Linked DNA regions of Oreochromis niloticus. The protein of the gene in region 1 purifies or fractionates together with the protein of each later gene. This does not show direct contact. Links are inferred from orthologs where the notes say so. Each region holds a gene or a part of one and is shown on either strand. Other genes may lie near its edges.

Region 1 (10,206 bases):
CAGGTTCTAAACGTTCTTCACACAGCAATGCATACTTCTATGGGTTCTTCAAGAACAAACGCATTGTGCTGTTTGACACGCTGCTGGAGGATTACTCACCTCTCAACAAGGCCGGAGAGTCACAGCCTGAGCAGCCAGAGAGTGATGAGACATCCAGCGAGTCTAAGGCCAAGCCCAAGGTTGCAAAGAATTTCACTTGATTCATAAAAACACTTTTAAAAAACTTGTCTTGAAACACACTTTGGTTGATTTTTGCTTGATAACAACTGGTCTGAGAGCTTGAAAGATATTTTTTTTGGTCATCAAGCTCTGTTTTGTTTTTAAAATCCTTTAATAAAGGATTGGGAAAAGCCCCAAGTATTAAATGTATTAATGTTTAGGCTTGATGTTGTTGGAAATTTTAGGTAACTGATTTTGAAACTTCTGTCACAGAACAAAAAACAAGGATGCAACAACCCAGAGATCCTTGCTGTTTTGGGTCATGAGCTTGGCCACTGGAAACTTGGCCACACCGTCAAGAATATCGTCATTAGTCAGGTGATTTCTCCCAGATGGATGTCTTTTGTTTTATCCCAAAACATATAAAAGCCTGATTAGATCATACTACAGACATTCAGAAATTGAACTGAATCTATTTTTATCTCTTCAGATGAATTCCTTCCTGTGCTTCTCCTTATTTGCTGTCCTGATTGGACGTAAGGAGCTGTTTGTAGCTTTTGGCTTCGATGACAGCCAGCCCACATTAATAGGCTTGATGATTATCTTCCAGTTCATCTTTTCTCCTTACAACGAGGTATGTGTGAGATCATGAAAGCTTGAATAATTAAATCCTGTTGTTTTGAGATGTTTAAATATTTCTCTTCTTCCTCGCTTTTGTAGGTTCTGTCTTTCTGTCTGACGGTCCTGAGTCGCAGGTTTGAGTTCCAGGCAGATGCTTTTGCTCGCGCCATGGGCAAAGCCTCAGAGCTTTACTCAGCTCTCATCAAGCTGAACAAAGACAACCTGGGCTTCCCTGTGGCTGATTGGTTGTTTTCCATGTGGCACTATTCCCACCCTCCTCTCCTTGAGCGCCTCAGAGCACTGGGCAACACCAAGCAAGACTGACGGGGCCGGAAGGGGAGCGGCGACCGCTGCCTCCTCCGAAGGGCCTCCGCAGACCGCTCCTGGCCCTGTGATGCACCCTGGTCTTTTTCCTTCCCTTCTGACCCCATAAGCAAATTTTATCTTATTTTATCCTTTTCTTCACTTGCCATACTTTCTTTTTTTTTCTCTTCTTTGAAAGTTAGTTTTAAACAAAACCAAAACATATCAGCACAAGGCAAACATAAAAAAATCTAAGCCTGTACTGTTCTTTTTCTTTTATTCAGAAAAACCATTTACACACTTGCTGTGTGAGATAGATCTGGACAACGTGTAAAGAAAAAGGCAATTGTCAGAGCACATATCAGATTTCTCAGATTGTACTCATAGATTTGTTTTTAGAAATCCTTTTATTTTTGTACAATTCATTCAGTACTTTGTTCTTTTTCCCTTCTAAGTATGAAGCTCAAAATGAAATTGACAAGTTATTTGGCTGTTAAATGTTAATTTTTTTTAAAATATTAATTTAAGATGATTAGTCATACATTATATTCAGTCGTTACAATGCTTTTTACAGATGCACGGGCCAGATTGATATGTACAGCAAGTGCAACATTTATTGTCAAGTTCAAGTGAATATTCATGAATCTATTCATCAATTCAGTGCTTTTTTTTTTTTTTTTTTTTTTAATTTAAAGAGAAACTCTGTAGATTCTTTGTCACAGTGACAAAATACGAGTGCCTCTAATTCTCCTCTTTGTACCCATAATGAACACCTAGTGAACAGAGCGGTGCGAAATGTTTCTTTTGAAGATTACAGTAGATGCGATATTTTTGTTTTTTTTACATGCAATGAGGGGCTGCTGTTTTAATTTTCTTAAGCACCTGCTTGTCATGAAGGGTCCAACCATACCTGTACATATGTAACTTTGGTGATTAGAGTAATGATATATGAAGTGAATTGTTGAAAAAAAAATGTTGAATGTGATTTGAATTTTTAAGTTGATGTAGAGTTTCATAGTTTTTGTTTTGTTTTTCTCTTTGTTTCATGCCAGCGATACCTGGTAAGCAAAGTATTTATAGGGGACTTCTGGGAGGGAGATGGCAAGATTTCACCACGTGAGCCAGAGTTTGGTTTGCTCAGAGAGGGGGTGTATGCTTTCTTTGCAGTGTTGAATAAAATCCTCTAAGCATTTATCTTATTTGGGGTGCTTGTTTTACTTTTTAAAAATATTGTGAACATCACACAAAAGATAAGTTTATTTTCATCCTGCAATGACTTTTTAAATATATTTTTAATGTTATATTTTAAATAAACACACACAAAATGTTCACTGGCCACTTAATTAGGCACACCTTCCTAGTACCTGGTTGGACCAGTTTATGCCTTCAGAACTGCCTTAATTCATATAGATGGATTCTCTATATGAATTGAGGCATTTTACACCATATCTGTAATGCATAGATTCAACAAAATGCTGGAAACATTCCAGAGAGTTTGACTTCATAGTTACATAATGGCTTCACACAGTTGCTGGACATCTATGAAGCAAATCTCTTGTTCCACCACATCCCAAAGGTGCTTTATTGGATTGAAACCTGGAGACTGTGGAGGTCATGTGAGCCTGTGGGAATTGTAGCTTCAGTTTCTTTAGCTAACAGGAGTGGCACCTGGTGTGGTTTTCTGCTGTTGTAGCACTTCTGGTTCACGGTTTGACATGTACATTCATGATATTTGATTTGCCTTCCTACAATCTCTGTAAACTCTAGAGATGGTTGTGTGGGAAACTCCCAGTGGATCAGCAGGTTTTTGAAGTACTTACAAAAACCATGCTATGATCAAAGTTAATTAAATACCCTTTCTTCCCCATCCTGATGCTCAGCTTAAAAATAAATCGATGTTTTATAAACTTATCTTTTTAGATAAAATCTCATATTTAAATTAAAAAAATTACTGTGTACTAAAATATATATAAAAAAAATTGCAATCCATAAGTTATTTAAGCTATGTAAAAAAGTAGAAATAACCATTGTTATTGTTGATTTTGTTTTTGTTTAAAAAACACTTTAAACCACTTTTGTTCAGTGGATATGGATGTATATAGTATTTAAATTAATTAAAAAATACATTAAAAAATCACACATCATGTTGCGTTATTGGTATGTAGCATAACAAAAATTATAAGGTCAGATGCTACGTAAAGAACGTATAACACCGCGGTATCCATTTTTAAGACCATACCACTGCGGGAATCAAATACTGTGTTTTTCCTGCATTACGTTATTGTTCCATGTTATGTATACGAAATATATTTAGCAGAAAAATTTAAATAATCCATCATCGTATGAATAGATTTTTTAAATGTATCATCTAATTGAACTAACGTATCTCCTGTTGGCACCCCCGCCTTGGACATAATGGCGCCGTCCTGTGGTGTATTTTTGTGGACAAGGACAAGCTCGACACTACTTGTCAGTGGTGTTTTCACAAACATGGCGAGGTTTTTGAGGCCTAATATCAGGACTTTTGTCACCTCACAGCTGAGAATGTCATCCGACCAGGTAATAAACGTCCTGCAACCGCCTCACTTCATTACAAACACCGTGTAACCGTTATACAGCGCTTTGACTTGTTTAGCCTCATCATTTTTGCTAGCTGAAAACCTTAATGACAGGATCACCTGCTGTAGCACTGTGGTATTAGCTTTCTAATTGAACATTATTACCTAATGATTATAGGTTATATATGCCAAGGGGGTTCATTTTGTATGTACTGCCACCTGTCAGACTATTCAGAAAAATAATTTGGTTTTGTGAGCTGCTTTGTTCTCTCAGACGTTTAGGTTTTGCTCAAAAAGGATTTCTGGTCTGTTCTAGATATCTCCATTATCACCTTGGAAACAAAGAAGCCTTTAAACCCACTCAAAAAATATAAAACCTTGACCTTCAACATGGTCTTGTTTTCACAGCGTCCAGCAGATTCACCTTAATATCACACTGAAAGCCCTGATCACTAAAGTTGAGAAAGAAAGTAACTTTAAAAAATGTTAAATTTCGAGCTGCCATCTGTTAAAGAAATGTCTTTATAGAAAGTACTCAGAGCTCTATTTTTTGTTTATGCATTTATTATTGGGTTTGGGGGTTTGTTTGTTTTTTGCTTGTTGCTGAGTTAATTCACTAAACTTGTTTTCTCTTAAATACTTCCCCACCCACTCAGCTGGGTGAGCTGGGTAAAGGTGCCGGGAAAGGTGGTGGTGGTGGAGGCTCTATCAGAGAGGCAGGTGGAGCCATGGGGAAGAAGCAGGCTGCAGAGGAGGAGATGTACTTCAAGTATGGAATTCAACTTATAAAGACAGTTTTTTGTCCACTTTTTCCACCTCTTCTACATGTAAATAAGCCTGTGTGATATCTGTCTTTCTTCATATAAGGCGCAAGGAGAAGGAGCAGCTGGCAGCACTAAAGCAGCACCATGAGGACGAAATTGATCACCACAAAAAGGAGATTGAACGTCTCCAGCGCGAAATTGACCGCCACAAGGGAAAGATCAGAAAGCTGAAGCATGACGACTGAGTGAAGCCTTTAAAATAAAACAAAAGTTTTGTTTTTTTTCTCCCCACTGTCCAAGACTCCTTTAGTAACCACACTAGTTTCTGCGTGCACTGTGTTATGCCAGTCATGAATGTTTGAGTGATGGTACTTATGTAAATTGTTGAAAGGTATTAAAATTGATTAAAAAAAATGAGTACGGGTTCCATGGCATGCTCTGCAAGAACATTTTCCTCTGTGATGCTGTTCATTGGTGTGCCGTATGTCACAGGCAGAATGCCAAAGTAAAAAATACTAAATATAATCTGTGCTTCATGCTGCTGTTTTATTTCAGTGAACAGTTGATATCTTTTGTGAACTTGTGAGCAACATTGTTTTCAATGAGCAACAATAGGCAGCAAATCAAGTGATAAAATTGACTAAGCTGCAACCAGCACACCTTTAATGTAAAATAAAAAATGGTAAAAAAGGTAATTAAAGTTATCTGGCAGCACAAATATGTGACCTGTTCAATATGTGTTTCAAACTGCTCCTTAAAGCCATCTTGATCTAAAGTAAGGTCATATAAATTTCATACTATTAAGATCTAAAAAAGTATTTAACACCTGCTATGATTTCTTATTTGTTTGTTTGCTTTTTGCATATTTGTAAGATCATAAAACAAATTTTAATATTAGACAAAGATAACAGGAGTAAATGCAGGTTTTACCCCTCATCTGAAAAAGGCAGATGGGGTATTTTCACCCCACCAGGTGGGTGGGTGGGTGGTCGGGGTTTGTGGATGTCTAAGTTTGAGAATGCAAGAATTAGATAATGTGGGAGCTTTTAATTGATACCATAAATGTCTGTGACCTACACCTCAGAGTCAAGTTCATAGGTCATGTTTTCCGAAGATCCTGTGAATGTGATAACTCAAGAAGGAAATTACCTAGGATATTCTAATTGATATCATAGGTAGATCTACTGAAATTCTCGGTTAAATATTCTGCAAATCTTGTGATTGCTTTAACTTGAGAATAGGCAGCGTAGGATTTTGAAATTGAAGCTCTGGTGGTCACCAGTATTTTTCAAATGAGGATTTCATTTATTAAGGAAAAAAGGTTCACCTAAAAATTGATTGTGCCACCTCTGGCAGCAAGAACTCAAAACAAGTGGTTGCAAGGAATTAGTTTTTCCACAGTGGAAGAATTTAGTCTCATTCTTTTTTACAGAATTGTTTTAATTCAGCCACATTGAAGAGTTTTCAAGCTTGACTTTAACTAGGCCACTACAAAACCTTTTCTTATTTTTTTTTGTCCCTCCCCCTTTAGAAGTGCACACTGGTGCATTTTGGATCATTGCCCTGTTGCCTAACCTAAGTGTGCTTGAGCTTCAGGGCACAAACTGATGGGGGAACATTTTCATTCAGCATTTTTTGGTAGAGAGAAGAATTACAACAAGTTGTCCAGGTCCTGAAGCAGCAAAGCAAAACTGCTAACCCTATAATACATAATAGTATACATAATTTATAATGCTGAACTTAATAAGTCCAACGGTGGCGCTATTTCTTTCATAGCCTGTGAGCCACGAGAAAGAAGCTGTCGTCACTTCCGCCCACCCCTGCCTTTTACCACGAGCAACCCCGTTTGTCTTTCTTTTCGCACATCATGGCGGACCGGTTCAATAAGGTGGGAAGCTGCTCTGGAGATATTATATCATTTTTCTGCTCTATAGGCAAAATAAAACCTTATGTTTTGCAGTTAAGCGAATAGCGATAACTTGGGACAGCTTTGTGTAGTCGTTGTTTTGCTCAGTGTTTTTTTTCTGAGACATATTTTTAGGGAATGTCTGAGGCAGCTCGCTATAGCCGAGTGAGCGTGCCTTCATCATGGCAGCTTCCCTGAGTCAACGCTGTTAGCTTGCGAAGCTAGGTTTAACGTGTGTACTGGATGTATGGTAGTATGGGAAACGTACCGGCAAACTTAAATAAATAAAATGGGTGATTTTTCGTTGCTTCTATGTAGGGAACCTTTCATGACACTTCAGCTAAAAAAAACCCAAGATTAATCGTCAGCGCGTTTTGGGTTAGATGCTAAGCTAACGTTATGGCTCAACCGGCAAGTCAATAGTGTCCCATGTGCCATTTATCACAGTGACGTGGAGGCAGAAATACAGTTAAGTTCGCAGTAAACCCCTTCAATAAACAGTGATGGGGTTAAATGTGTGTTTATTACCGTTTAACTTTTATGTTAGTGCAAGGCAAGGTAAAGCTGACAATGTGACGATTGTCAGGTTAGATGTTAAAAGCAAGTTGATTAACATTACCATACAAGATTATAGTGAATTACTGGGATGTTTTTTCATGGTGAAGATAAAGCATTGATATCCTTTTTTCCCCCCTTTATTTTAGGTTCTGCTGCTTGATGGCAGGGGCCATCTGCTCGGCCGACTTGCTGCCATTGTGGCTAAACAGGTTCTTCTGGGTAAGTTTTAAGAGAATAATGAGAGTTTTTGGTAATAAACAATATAACTTGAGTTTGGTACACACTGTGCGATTTTTGGACTGTCCTAGTCAAGATGTTCGAATTTAGCTGTTGTATCACGCTACATGCATGGACTCCTTGGAGCAACATCCTGACAGTGTCAGAAATTTTGTAGCAGTATCTCATAATGGGACTGCTGCTGTACCTGCTAACCATTCAGTAGGAATGCAGTGCAAACTAACCTGAAATAGCTGAGCCATTGTGGGGTCCCATTGGAGGTAAAATGTGCAAAATAAGGTGATTTGGATTGCAACACATAGTCTAGTCCCTTTTATACACCTGAACTGTGGACAGTGTCAGTAGTATTGTTTCTGGAAATACTCATGACATGATGTCCACTTGCTCTGGGAATTCTCTAGTTACTGGCTCTCTTGTTACATGGCATCAGTTGGGGATTATACGGTTATTTGAGCACTAGAAGGATGAGTATTTGATTTCCAGTCCAACAAATTTTATATTTGTGTCCTCATGTTTAGTTCAGCTGGGTAATGTCTAAAAAAACAAAAAACCGCTTGCAGTTTGTGAAAAATGACTGTTTGTGCAAAAGGCCTGCAGAGAGCATTGCATGCTCTTTCTACACATGCGTAGGGTGTAAATTGTAATGCAAATTCTCCAGATGCAGTCACACAAAACATGCAGAGACACAGATGGCTACAAAGACCGACCTATCCTACGATGAAACTCTACCGTTAACTTCCAGACTTGTCAGATCCATGTCGCACAGTGTGTTTTGCAGCATGTAAGACTGATGAACAGTGTGTTCAAAGTTGGCAAATGTTGTGTCATTCTGTCGATGATGACTGTATTAACTGCCTTGGTTGAGTTTAACGACAATGAGAAAACTCACATGCACTACCATCTGAGACAGGAAACAAACAAACAGTATCTGCACCTGTTTGCTGTTCTCTTTAACTTTTGGGATTTAACTGTTGGCATTTTGTCTTTTAGGCCACAAAGTGGTGGTGGTGAGATGTGAAGGCATCAACATCTCTGGCAACTTCTACCGTAACAAGCGTAAGTAGGGTTATGTCCTATTTTCATTCCTTTAAAATGCTTGTTGTCGGTGATGTTTTACTAGTTTGAGTTTCACAGACCATGAGAAAACCTTACATGCACTACCATCTGAGGCATCAGCATTACTTAATAAAGTAATGCTAGCCCCTTGCATGTATCTTGATGTATGTGTAATGTGGCATGTGCCTGTCTGCAGTGAAGTACCTGGCTTTCCTGCGCAAGAGGATGAACACCAACCCCTCTCGTGGTCCGTACCACTTCAGGGCTCCCAGCAAGATCTTCTGGAGGACCGTTAGAGGTGAGAAAGTGACACCACCAGCACATGAAGTGGTCTATTTGCATTCATCTATGATACTTACTTAGCACAGTAAAGCTGTTTATAGCAAAGCTAATAATCTATTGATGAAGCAGACTTCAGACATCTGACTTTTTTTTTTTCAGTTTAGCATATGTTGAAATGGCTACTGAGTTTTATGTTTTTTTTTAAAAGGATAATCTCTCTTTAAACAGGTATGCTGCCTCACAAAACCAAGAGAGGTCAGGCTGCTCTGGAGAGGCTGAAGGTGTTTGATGGTATCCCCCCACCCTATGACAAGGTATGCTGATAATTTCTTAATCTTTATGGCCCCCACAAGTGGCTTTGACTGTGCTGTCTGTGATGCCATGCATCTTAACTGCCTTGTCTGAATAGTAACCATGAAAAGAAATGATGTCTGAGACATGCTGCCTATAACAGTTCAGATGTGCTGTTGTCTTCGTTATCTGATTTTGCTTTATTTGATTTGCAGAGGAAGCGCATGGTTGTCCCAGCTGCTCTTAAAGTTGTGCGTCTGAAGCCCTCTCGCAAGGTGAGCCTACAATGTTTGTTTTTTTTTTTTTTTTTTTGTTAAGGACAGAAAATGAAGGGTGACAATAAGGTCATTTACTATTATTCAGCTGTAAATTTTGAATTGGGCAGGCACAACCATTTAGTTTGTGTAACATTGTTCTCTTCAGTTTGTGAACTGTTGATTTTATATGGTTTTTCATTTCTCCCTCAGTTCGCCCTCCTTGGGCGTCTGGCACATGAGGTTGGCTGGAAGTACCAGGCTATCACAGCCACTCTGGAGGAGAAGAGAAAGGAGAAGTCTAAGCTCCGCTACACCAAGAAAAAGACACTGATCAATCTGACCAAGAAGGCAGAAAAGAACGTCGAGTCCAAGATTGCAAAATACACAGATGTTCTGAAACAATATGGAGTTATTGTCTGAGCTAAACTCATCTGGCCAATAAAGATGAATAAATGTTTATAAAATGTGTCATGACTATTTTATTTCTCATTAAAATAAACTGCATTTACTACAACATGAATATATGTTTAAGAGTTGCATTTGTAGCTATCACAAGAAGGTAGCATTTGTGTATTCATGGTTATATTGACTTGGTATTTGAAAAGTATCACTCAGACTTTCAAAAGGTGCCAGGAAAAGCACATTGGAGTTGCGTATTTTCCTTACATGGTTTCGCGTAATGTGTAAAATCAAAATGTATGACAGGGTTAGAAAACATAACTGGATATTTGGAGTTAGTATTACACTCTTATTTTATTTTCACAAAATGCCATCTGACTCATCAGTTTTTGAATTGTATAACAATTTGCTGCAGCTGTAGAGTTTGATAAAACTGACAAAAATAAGGCTATGTCCACACGTACCCGGGTATTTTTGAAAACGGAGATTTTCCGTTTTCGTTTTAAAAAATAATCCCGTCCACACGTAAAGGCAGAAATGAAGGAAAACGCTGCTAGGAACATGCCAAAGCAGCAGGTGGCGCTATATTCCTAACCGTGTAGAAATGTTGGCCAATCAGAAGTCTAGAAGCCTCGGTGGGAAAAAGTAAACAAAGATGGGGCATAGAAGCAGAACCGAGTCGTGTATATGAAGGGACAGTAACTGTGTGTGTATATGTAAGCATTTAAACACTGCAGAGAGTACAATTAACAGTAACAGTATTGTAGAAATTCATTTCACCGAAACAACAACGTGGCGCACACTGTGACGTCAAA
Region 2 (10,542 bases), on another chromosome or scaffold:
TTTGAACGCCTGGTCAGAGACTTCATCATTTCTTCACTACCAGACACACTGGACCCACTACAGTTCGCTTACCGTCCAAATCGTTCCACAGATGATGTCATCTCTCATCTCCTCCACACATCACTCACTCACTTGGACACTAGAAGGGGGAATTATGTTAAAATGCTCTTCATCGACTACAGCTCTGCATTTAATACCATAATTCCCTCCACACTCACCACCAAACTGGAGCACCTGGGACTCAGCTCATCTATGTGTCAGTGGATCTCCAACTTCCTAACTAGCAGACCACAGGCAGTAAGGATGGGCGGACATGTCTCAGCCTCCACCACTCTCAGCACTGGAGCCCCCCAGGGGTGTGTTCTGAGCCCCCTGCTGTACTCTTTGTACACATATGACTGTGTGGCCACTACCAGCTCCACCACCATCATCAAGTTTGCTGATGACACCGTCGTGGTGGGCCTGATCTCTGACAACAACGAGACGGCCTACTTGAAGGAGGTTAGGAATCTGGAGACCTGGTGCCAGAGGAACAACCTCCTTCTAAACATCAGAAAAACAAAGGAGTTGATAGTGGACTTCAGTACTAAGCAGAAGAGGAACTACCAGACCCCCGTCATCAACGAGTGCCCAGTGGAGAGAGTGGACAGCTTCAAACACCTCGGAGTTCACATCACGCAGGACCTGTCATGGTCCTGTCACATCAACACTGTAGTGAAAAAGGCCCGACAGCGTCTCTACCACCTCAGACGCTTGAGAGACTTCCGACTGCCCTCCAGGGTGCTCAGGAACTTTTACTCGTGCACCATAGAGAGCATCCTGACGGGAAACATCTTAACCTGGTTCGGGAACAGCACCATGCAGGACAGACGAGCTCTACAGAGGGTTGTGCGATCAGCTAAGCGCACCATCCGCTCCGAGCTCCCTGACCTGCACTCAATCTACAGCAGGCGGTGCTGTACCAAGGCCAGGAAGATCATGAAGGACCTCAGCCATCCCAACAACGGACTGTTCTCTCTGTTGAGGTCAGGAAAGCGATTCCGCTCCCTGAAGACCAACACAGAGAGACTGAGGAGGAGCTTCTTCCCGCAGGCGATACGGTCTCTCAATCACACCACCACATAGAACGGACCCACACATATGGTTCTTACACACACACTGGACAGTCTGGACTTTGTTTACACTTAATCACTTTAAGCATATTTGCACTGCACAAGACACCTACAATGTGGTTTGCACAACACTGGACATTATATTTCTTCATTTCCATTTAATACTTGTACAGCTGCTGTTATTGTATATATATTTATATTTCTTCATACATTCTTATATATTTGTATATTGTGTATTGTGTATTTTGTTGTACAGTTACTTTATTTTCAACTTTAATTCATATATATTTTATCTTATTCTTCCCAGTTAAATTTACTCTTCATTCTAATTTGTGTTGTACAGTTATTTTATTTTCAACTAATTCATATATATTTTATTTTATTCCTTCCTAGTTAAATTTACCCTTTTTAATTTTCATATTTATTTCCTATCTTATTCATAGCCTTTTCTTTTCTTTTTTTCTTAAGGTCACGAGCAGTTGTGTAAGCATTTCACTGCATATCGTATTGTGTATGACTGTGTATGTGACAAATAAAATTTGAATTTGAATTTGAATTTGAACAGTATGATATGGCCCAGCCCTAGTGAACACAGTACAACTCCAGCATGGATACTGACTTACACAACACCTCGTGGAAAAAGTAGTTGTTGCTAATATTGCTATTATTTTTCCATTAAATAATATGTGTCAAATAATGCCAAAATCCCAATTCCAGTTTACAGAGCCATGGCTCAGGCAACAGAGTGGGTCATCTACCAATCAGAAGGTCTGTGATTCACTTCCCTGCTCCTCCAGTCTGCATATAGAAGTATCTCTGGGTAAGGCACTAAACCCCCGAGTTGCTCCTGTGTGTGTGAATGTAAGACATGGTGTTAAGGTATAGAAAAAAGTAGTATGCATGTGAGACTGGGTGACTAAGGTTTGCAGTAAAAAAAAATTTAAGTACTGCACTCTGCTGGAGCCACTTGCCTATATATGTATATATTGATTTGGAAAAACTTTCTTCTGCTTAGATTTATTATTTTGTAATCATTCTATGTAGTTTTTTTTTTTGTTGTTGGTTGTTTTTTTGGGGGGGGGTATATTTTTCATTCTTTCAAATACCAGAAGTTAGACTTTATATCTTTGTCTGATTATCTCATTTTTAAACATTAAATCAGATGTTATGCTCTGTTACTCAGTACTCAAGTAGCCGTTTTACTAAATACTTTTTTTACTCTTACTAGAGTAATTTCTTAGACGGCTACTTTTTACTTTTGCTTGAGTAAAACTATGTTTAAGTAGTGCTACTATTACTTGAGTACAATTTTTGGCTACTCTACCCACCTCTGACTGGCTCAGAGAACCACTCTTACCTGTGACCATCAAACTTTTCATCACCTCCCTATGACTCCTCCTAAGAATTGGTCTGTAGAGTGGTGCACAGGCATCTCAAGTTATCTCAAGGCATCTGTGATGGCAGTGTAAGACAGGTGGAAGCTGTCCGAGTTATGGGCAATCTGTTAAAACAGGATGGCCAGAGCGAGAGAGTGGACCCAAAATGCAGATTCAGCCAGAGGCACAGTCTTTCTCAATAGTGAAACTTTATTTACAGGCTGTGAAAACGTGACACTTGAAATATCGAGCATGAACTGTGAACTATGGTGTGATGGTGTGAATAGACATGACCAGCATCCAGAAAAACGTGACTATACTGCGAAGGTGAGTAGATGATCCAGAGAATAGTAGAGACATAAGAGATAACAAAGTTAGTGAAGAAGAAGTACAATGAATTCTCATGAAACATAATTGGGCAAGCACTATCAGAGGTTACCAGACATTCTGGCAAAGATTTGTTAAGAGCGCTGGTCTTAAAGGCTGATGAGGCTCCACCTAGAGGTGGAAACCCAGAGCTAATAGAAAAACAGCCACTCACCCGCACCATAACACAATCCTTCATACCCTCTCCATGACACGCTGGATAGTCGGAACACATTCAGCCTCAAACTCTCCCTGTGACACTTGGACTATTTTCACTATTTTCACTTTCACATATTTTGTTTATATTGTATACAGCATAACTTTGGAGTACATATTCAAAACATGTTGTGTCTTCAATGGAGTACCTTATTTTTATTTTTCTATATTTCATATTTATAATTTAATTCAGTGTATGTAGCAAAGCAAATTCTGATGCTGATCTGAATCAAAAGCATTGTAGAGTGGGCAGAACTTTGTAAATTTAATGTAGAATTTTTTCAAAGTAAGTAAGTGTCTTTTGTTGAAGAAAATAAATAAATAAATAAAGAGGAACGACCTCCGTGATCGGGTTATAGCTGCATTCAACTTTCTGAGTAGTGCCAGAGAGAAGGTGTTGTTGGACTTGGACAGAGGAGAATAAAGAAAGGAAGGCAGAACGCCAAGCAGGATTACTGAACTGAAATTATTATTCACAATTGCAAATAAATTACAAAATAAATAATTACATTTTACTTCTTTTTACCACCTAGTCAAACTAGTCCCCAGAGAATATTAATAATGTTACTGACTCATTCTGGTACTACAGAGAATCAAAACAAGCAGACATCTGTGCAGTTTCCTTCCATAGGCCTTCACTGTGATGAACATTTAGATCATTCTACTAACATATCCAGTATACCTGCTACTAAACTAAGGCATGCTGCATATCCAGAAGAGGACGGTCCTAGGAACAGCAAAGATACTGCACAGAACCCTCAGCTTGAAGGATAGACTGCCTGCAGGGGCGAGAGGGGACTTTTTATATATAAGCAGCAGAACCCTGAGAAAGAAGAGGAACAAGAATCATCGTGGAAGGACAGGTCACTGCACAGCTTTTACCGGCAGATAGAAGATGTGGCTGTTAAATAAATTAAATGGTCATTAAAAATGTGTTTAGAATGTATATAAAAATATAGCCCAGTTCCTTTTATGTATACTCATACTTACCCAATAAAGCTGATACTGATGTGTGCAGAATATCTCTGTTGTTGCTGTACTTTATAAAAAAAAAAACTAAGCAGTATTCAGGTCACTTTAAGCAATGCTTAAGATGGCTCACTAGATGGAGCAATACGCTCAGACCTGAAACTGCACATATTCAAAAAGTAGTTCAGTTCAGTTATTTCAGTCAATTATCAGGGAGAAATTAAACTGAAGGAAATCACAGTGCTGACACAGTCACATGAGTTTTGAACACAAAAAAGTATGTCTTAATGTGTGAGCCAAGGTTATTATAGTTGAATTAAACTAAATAAAAACATTTAGTTTTTATTTTCATTTTAGTTCATTCAAACTTAAAAAACTACACTTTTGAAATAAATAAAACCTATATAAAAAGGTTTGGTGAACTAATTGATCCACAGTTAATACAGAACAGAATAAAGTAACCTCTATCATCTTCTTGATGGCACTTTGAGACACAGTAAGTCTCTCTGCTACCATAGTTACTCTATCTGTACAGGGACTGTCCAGCACATAACAGCAGGGTACAAGATGCTAACATGAACGGCATACATGGAAGACCATATACAAGTGGCTGGCAAAGTGTATAAAATACAGGAACATCTATGTTAAGTATGGGCTAAAGTCCCATGGACAAAATGGGATATACCCCACAGGGTGGTTGACAATGACCGGGCTAAGATCCTGCAGACCTCCTGATACAGAATAAATAAATATTTTACTACTGTAGACCCATCACCCCCAGGAGGCATAGTAGGAGTCTGTTGCAATCTGTGCCAGGTAGCAACCAAGGGCAGTGGCTCTGCCAGACAGATCCCCAGCTACCCAGAATGGTACTTGGGATATGGAACGTCGCCTCTCTGAATGGGAAGGAGCCTGAGCTAGTATGTGAGGTTGAGCTATACTGACTATAGTCGAGCTCAACTCAGCGCATGACTTGGGCTCTGGAACCAGTCCCCCGGAGAGGGGCTGGACTCTGTTCCAGTCTGAAGTTGGCCTTGCTGAGAGGTGGTGGGCTGGGGTGGGTATCCTTGTATCCCCTTGGCCTGATGCCTATATTTTGGAGTTTTCGCCATTTCACAATAGGGTCGTTTCCCTGTGCCTTCAGGCCAGGGAACAGATCCTGACTGCCTTTTGTACTTATGCCATATTTTTAAAAAAGTGATTTCATGGACTTTGCTACAGTGAAAGAATTAGGAAAATAATTTGTGTCATCTTTTCATTTAATTTTATGACTTGAAGTGTTCATCCTTCTTAGAGTGTTTGTGCAACCTTTCCACAGTATAGCAGCTTTATAGGGTTTAGAGCCCGAAAATGTGACATGTAGTGCTAAAATGCATCTTAAAGCACGTGTTTTGGATGCCTACACCACAGCTCTGTCTTGTCCTAGGTCTGAAGCAGTTTTTCTGAACAGTTTAAAATATTTTCTGAAAACTGATTATTTCCAAGGCATTTGGAAAGATGTACTGTATGTCTCTTTAAAGGCGATATAAGGAGAATACCATCTTTTTAGGGCGTCTTTGAATTCAACCTATGTAGGTTAATCATTCTCATTTCCACATGATATCCTTTTGTTCCTAACACATTACCCGGTCCATATCAGTATAGATATCCTTTTTTGAGCAGTGTATAAAACACTGAAACCAAAATGGCCATGGTGTGTGGGAACAGGGAGGCATGGCTGAATAACAGTGTATGCTTTATTCACATTCACTAAATAACTCAAACGATTAATATATGAAAATCCAAAATAAGTTTATTTTAGACTTTCATGCAAGGAAGGCAAACCTTAAGTGGTCCTGATAAAAATATTTGTGTAACCCTAGGTCATGCTTGGTGTTAAAACAAATCTTTTACTGTCAGATTTGCATAGATGCAAAGTGAGACAAATGTCTGTGTGGGTTCTCAGCCATCCAGGTGATGGCAGCATTGAGACAGAGCTTGACGAAGGAAACAGGCTTAAAAGGTTCTAAAAACAAAAGGTGGAGAGTCCCGGGAATTTAAACCCTAGTGGGGATTGTCCCATTTGGAGGCGGTTGCATTCGTTCTTGCAACCAATCTGCAGCGGCACAACACGCCAGGTTACAAAAATTAAACCTGGAAAAAGAGTAAGAGATGGGCGGATCGATCCGAACGTCGATAGCATCGATACTAGCATGATGGAATGGACGCTTTAGCTTAGTATTTTGAGGCATGTCTGTGCAGACGGCCGTGGCATCGTCATCACCCCCAATGTACCGCGGCATCTTGTGGCATCACCTTAAAAATGTCAGATCTACACATGATGGCATCACCCCCAAACATGGACCGCTGAATGGAAAGGCTCGACCCGAAACGCTGGGGCAGGTCGAGGTACTGTCTGCTGACGTCATTTGTCCGCGACGAAGAATCTACGATGGCCGAATCAGAGTATGTGTTTGATTTTATAATTGTATCTAAGTTCATCCGTTCGGTTTCCTATGTGTAGCTGTGCTGTTTATGCTTTTCCCGCTAAGTACGAGTCTTAAAGATTCGATTAAGGTGTCTATTTAGAAAGATGATGGGTGAAAAAGGCGTATCTGGAGGAGCTTACTTTCACATGGAGTGTATACCGTCGGTGAACCGAAGGTAGCTCCGAACTGAATAAGTATACCCACGGCCTCCCGACTTGGCGTGACCCCTAAAATTTCTGGGTCATGCTGTTTGAATTTGTGTCAGACAATCCTGTTCTCCCGGCCGTCCTATTACAAGGACGCAAGAAAATCCCTGGGACCTCAGGCTAACTAGGTCCTCATAAACAATTTTTTTTTTTTTTTTTTTTTTTGGAGAAGCAGTCTTAACACACCTATCATACCTGTGATACCCCAGTAAGAAGTAACCCACTGTGGTAACACTGAAAAACCTTAGTTTTAGGGTTGCAACTGAAGCTAGTCAACGCCTCCAGTTCTCCTCCACAGCACAATCTTGTGACTGAGCCGCATTTATTTAAATGGTAAATGGTAAATGGCCTGTATTTGTATAGCGCTTTACTAGTCCCTAAAGACCCCAAAGCGCTTTACACATCCAGTCATCCACCCATTCACGCACACATTCACACACTGGTGATTTAGTTTGTCCAAAGCTTCTTTCTCTTACTTTTTGTTCTCTTCAGGACAAAAAAGGCAATCAAGTTGGTTCCAGAGTATCTTCTGAAAAAGAGGAAGGCATACCAGGCAATCAAAGCCACGCAAGCGAAACTCGCACTGCTCGAGAAGAGAAGGGTAAGTACTGATGCTTGTTACATATATACAATACAATATATACTAACTTTGTAGTTAAAGGCTGTATGGAATTTATGTACTGTTGTGCATTCATGTGTGTATTCCTGTAATGCTGCAGGTGACTAAAGGGAAAATCAAGTTCAAGCGTTTGGAAGATTTCTTAAAGGAAAGCCACACGCAGCATCGGGATGACACCCGCATCCAAAGGGTCAAACAGAGACCGGCTGAACCTCTACCACCAGCCAAGAACAAGCTTGCCTTCGCTGTCCGCATTAGACAGTGAGTACTGGAAAGCAGACACAGGCTTCCAGAACCGGCCGACAGTTTGTTTAACCCAACTGGTTCTCTCCTGTTAGGACTAAAGGCGTCAGTCCTAAAGTGATGAAAGTGATCCAGATGATGAGGCTGAGGAAGATCTTCAGCGGGACCTTTGTCAAAATTAACAAGACCTCCATCGCGATGATGAAGATGGTGGAGCCTTATGTGGCATGGGGGTGAGTGCGTGAGACACCGTGTACTTTGGAGGGTAATGCTGGCTTGAATTTGTGTTCAATCCTCTACATACTGGGCTGTGTGTTGGACAGATTTCCCAACCTGAAGTCGGTTCGTGAGCTCATTCTGAAGAGAGGTCAGACCAGGATAGGCAGGAGGAGAGTTCCCCTCACAGACAACACCTTCATCGAGGAGCACATGGGTGAGTCACTCACACTACAGCCTCCCTCCCCACTCACCTGCAGTCACAGTGCACTTCATTTCAGCTGTGCACCTTCTCTCTCTTTTCATCCCTTCCTCTTTCTCTTCCTCTCTTTCTCCCTCTGTCATACTCCATCGTTCTTTGAAGTGTTATGTAAAATAAAATGCATGGTTCTATTTTTACTTCTTAAATTATTTTTTCCCTTTTTTGAATGCCGACTAGTACTGTTAAAGTTGATGTAATAAATCTGCGACACGAAAGCTACAAAAAAGGTGGAGTTGGAGTCAAGAATATACCTGCTGCTCCATCTGTGGCCTTTCGTCAGACTCAGGGGAACACAAGCATTGTTTTTAGTAGCCATTTCCCTCAATGCCGGGTTTCAAAAATTGCAGTTTTAATTTTCGTGAATTAAAATCACTCTCAGGACTCATCGAGTGACGCCACTGACCAGCCAGTGGGTGCCTTGCAGTCTGACAACATCAAATTTTAGTACCTGCTCAGATGGCTTGGAACCCCGGGCGAGCAGGTGGCAAACCGTGCCGAGTTGATCCTATTAGGTACTAATGGCTATGATGTCCTCTAAAGGGCAGACAAACATAGTTGTGTGTATCAAGGTTTTGCAGACTCATGATCAGTAACAATGTAATGTTAGCTTTCTTGCTAGCACATGTGATAATTAGAAAGGTCCATGACCATCTGGTAACCACCAGATGAGTATATCCCAACCAGTTTTGAGTAGTTGCTGGAGGTTGATGGCAGTTGCCGGGGGGATGATGGCTAAAGCCCCAGTCACACATGCCTACAGATGGTCAGTGACTCCCTGGAAACCACCTCTGTCTCTATATAAAAATATGTACTTTTGGTCCAGTTGGGAAAAATCTCCTTGTGATCTTGTGATTGCTTTGGTTGCTAGCATATTGCTCTGATTGCAGTTTGAATAGAAGTGATGGACTTGTCTACAAACAGCGTCTAGCTGCTCTCCGAGCTGTAGTGAAACAGCTCTGGAAATGGAGAAGGTTCACCTTCAAAGTAATAGTTGCATCTTAGAAACATGTTTACTGTAACACTGAGACACAGCTGTTACTTTGAGGTGAACCATCTCTATTTCTGGTTTGCATTCCACTTTTTCAAATTTTACTACCGCCCTGCTTGGAATTGGGAAGTATTTGCCAACAAACATGAGATATTACTGGCAACCATGGCAATCTCCTAGCAACCGGAGCAATTAGTACAAGGTTCTTGGTGCAGCACCATGTTTGTAACTGATTTCACCCAGCGACAGTGGCTGTCTGTAGTACTGTCGTGCAAGGATGTGAGAAATACAATGTTTGTTTGTTTTGTTTTTTTAATGATACCTTCAAACAGCTGTATGTAATTGGATTTGCAATTAAAAAAGTGTGTAGCCACAACCTTTTATCACGATAATTGTTCACTCGTTTCGTTCCTGCCCATCTCAGTAGAAAGTTGCTTATTTTTCATTAGTTCCCCTTTCCTGAAGCCAGGCCCATTTTGCTCACAGCTCATTGTTTTTATTTGCAGATGTTGTTTTTATTGTGCTAACAATAAAACACACAACCTTTTTTTGCTTTTGACTCTAATGGTCATCAGACTTTGCAAAATATAGATGTTATGGATGAAATATTATAGCTAGCGGCTACGTCTCTCTTTTAGGTACAGTCTGTGATATGTGATTATAAATATACAAGCTGTTTTTTTTTGTTTGTTTGTTTTTTGTTCACGTTTGCTAAATATGAGTTCAGATTCTGCAGGAATCAGCTTTAATGAGCTTTCTCTGCTCCTTTTTCTCGGCCTACAGGTAAACAAGGAATCATCTGCTTGGAGGACCTGATTCATGAGATCTACTCTGTTGGGAAGAACTTTCGAGCTGCCAATAACTTCCTGTTGCCGTTCAGGCTGTCAGTGGCTCGTCACTCCATCAAAGACAAAGCTGGGCTCCTGAAGGACCTGGGAAACCCAGGGTACCGTGGCACAGATATCAATGTAATCATCAGACAGCTGAACTGAGGGGGAGCACGTGCAGGATGGACACTGGGCTGGACACCAGTTTCAGAGACACTGTACCTGTTGCGGAGCAGTTGTCACTTCTTTGGCAGAGAAGGTCTTATTACTCGTTCTGTGGAGTCTCTTGCCTTATCCTGTATGAATTATGTTAAAATATTAAAGTTAACACGTACATTAAGATTCCTCAGGTTTTCTGAGGAACAGTCAATACTTGCTACTTACGCAAGGTTATTAATGAAATGATCTAGGAGGGCTGTCCTCCATGCTGAAGCCAGCAGCCCACCTGCTATAAACTCTTATGGGGTCTGTAACCTCCAGTGTCAATAGGTTTAATGTGTGCAGCATGCTCACAAAACTGATTGCTGTTATTGAAGAGGGTGATGGATGGTATTATGTTATAATACTTTTTGTTTTACAATTAAAAAAACTAAACTAAATGACTGTTCTTGTGATGTTTGTTGAGGTGTTTAACACACCGTTATGACCGTTAAACAGACGCTTTCACCCCACAA

The links. Proteins that work in one complex are often made in the same cells at the same time.
Region 2: the proteins of rpl13a (region 1) and rpl7l1 purify together in Homo sapiens (affinity purification with mass spectrometry; 3 studies listed by BioGRID and IntAct, with this or other methods). This does not show direct contact. The link is inferred for Oreochromis niloticus from reciprocal best matches to the Homo sapiens genes RPL13A and RPL7L1.

Annotation. Positions count from the first base shown.
Region 1 is NC_031983.2:13,761,691-13,771,896, forward strand, and holds rpl13a (large ribosomal subunit protein uL13), read left to right. Parts: upstream 1-6,169; 5' UTR 6,170-6,272; coding exon 6,273-6,293; intron 6,294-7,015; coding exon 7,016-7,088; intron 7,089-7,934; exon of another isoform or gene 7,935-8,017; intron 8,018-8,096; coding exon 8,097-8,162; intron 8,163-8,204; exon of another isoform or gene 8,205-8,280; intron 8,281-8,358; coding exon 8,359-8,460; intron 8,461-8,672; coding exon 8,673-8,758; intron 8,759-8,950; coding exon 8,951-9,010; intron 9,011-9,202; coding exon 9,203-9,412; 3' UTR 9,413-9,460; downstream 9,461-10,206. Other genes in the region: zmpste24 (CAAX prenyl protease 1 homolog), read left to right, coding at 4-179, 433-537, 650-793, 880-1,104; atp5if1b (ATPase inhibitor B, mitochondrial), read left to right, coding at 3,499-3,642, 4,298-4,410, 4,509-4,650. UniProt on the Homo sapiens protein: Associated with ribosomes but is not required for canonical ribosome function and has extra-ribosomal functions.
Region 2 is NC_031980.2:27,060,523-27,071,064, reverse strand, and holds rpl7l1 (60S ribosomal protein L7-like 1), read left to right. Parts: upstream 1-6,060; 5' UTR 6,061-6,389; coding exon 6,390-6,484; intron 6,485-7,205; coding exon 7,206-7,314; intron 7,315-7,432; coding exon 7,433-7,593; intron 7,594-7,670; coding exon 7,671-7,808; intron 7,809-7,898; coding exon 7,899-8,008; intron 8,009-9,824; coding exon 9,825-10,033; 3' UTR 10,034-10,467; downstream 10,468-10,542.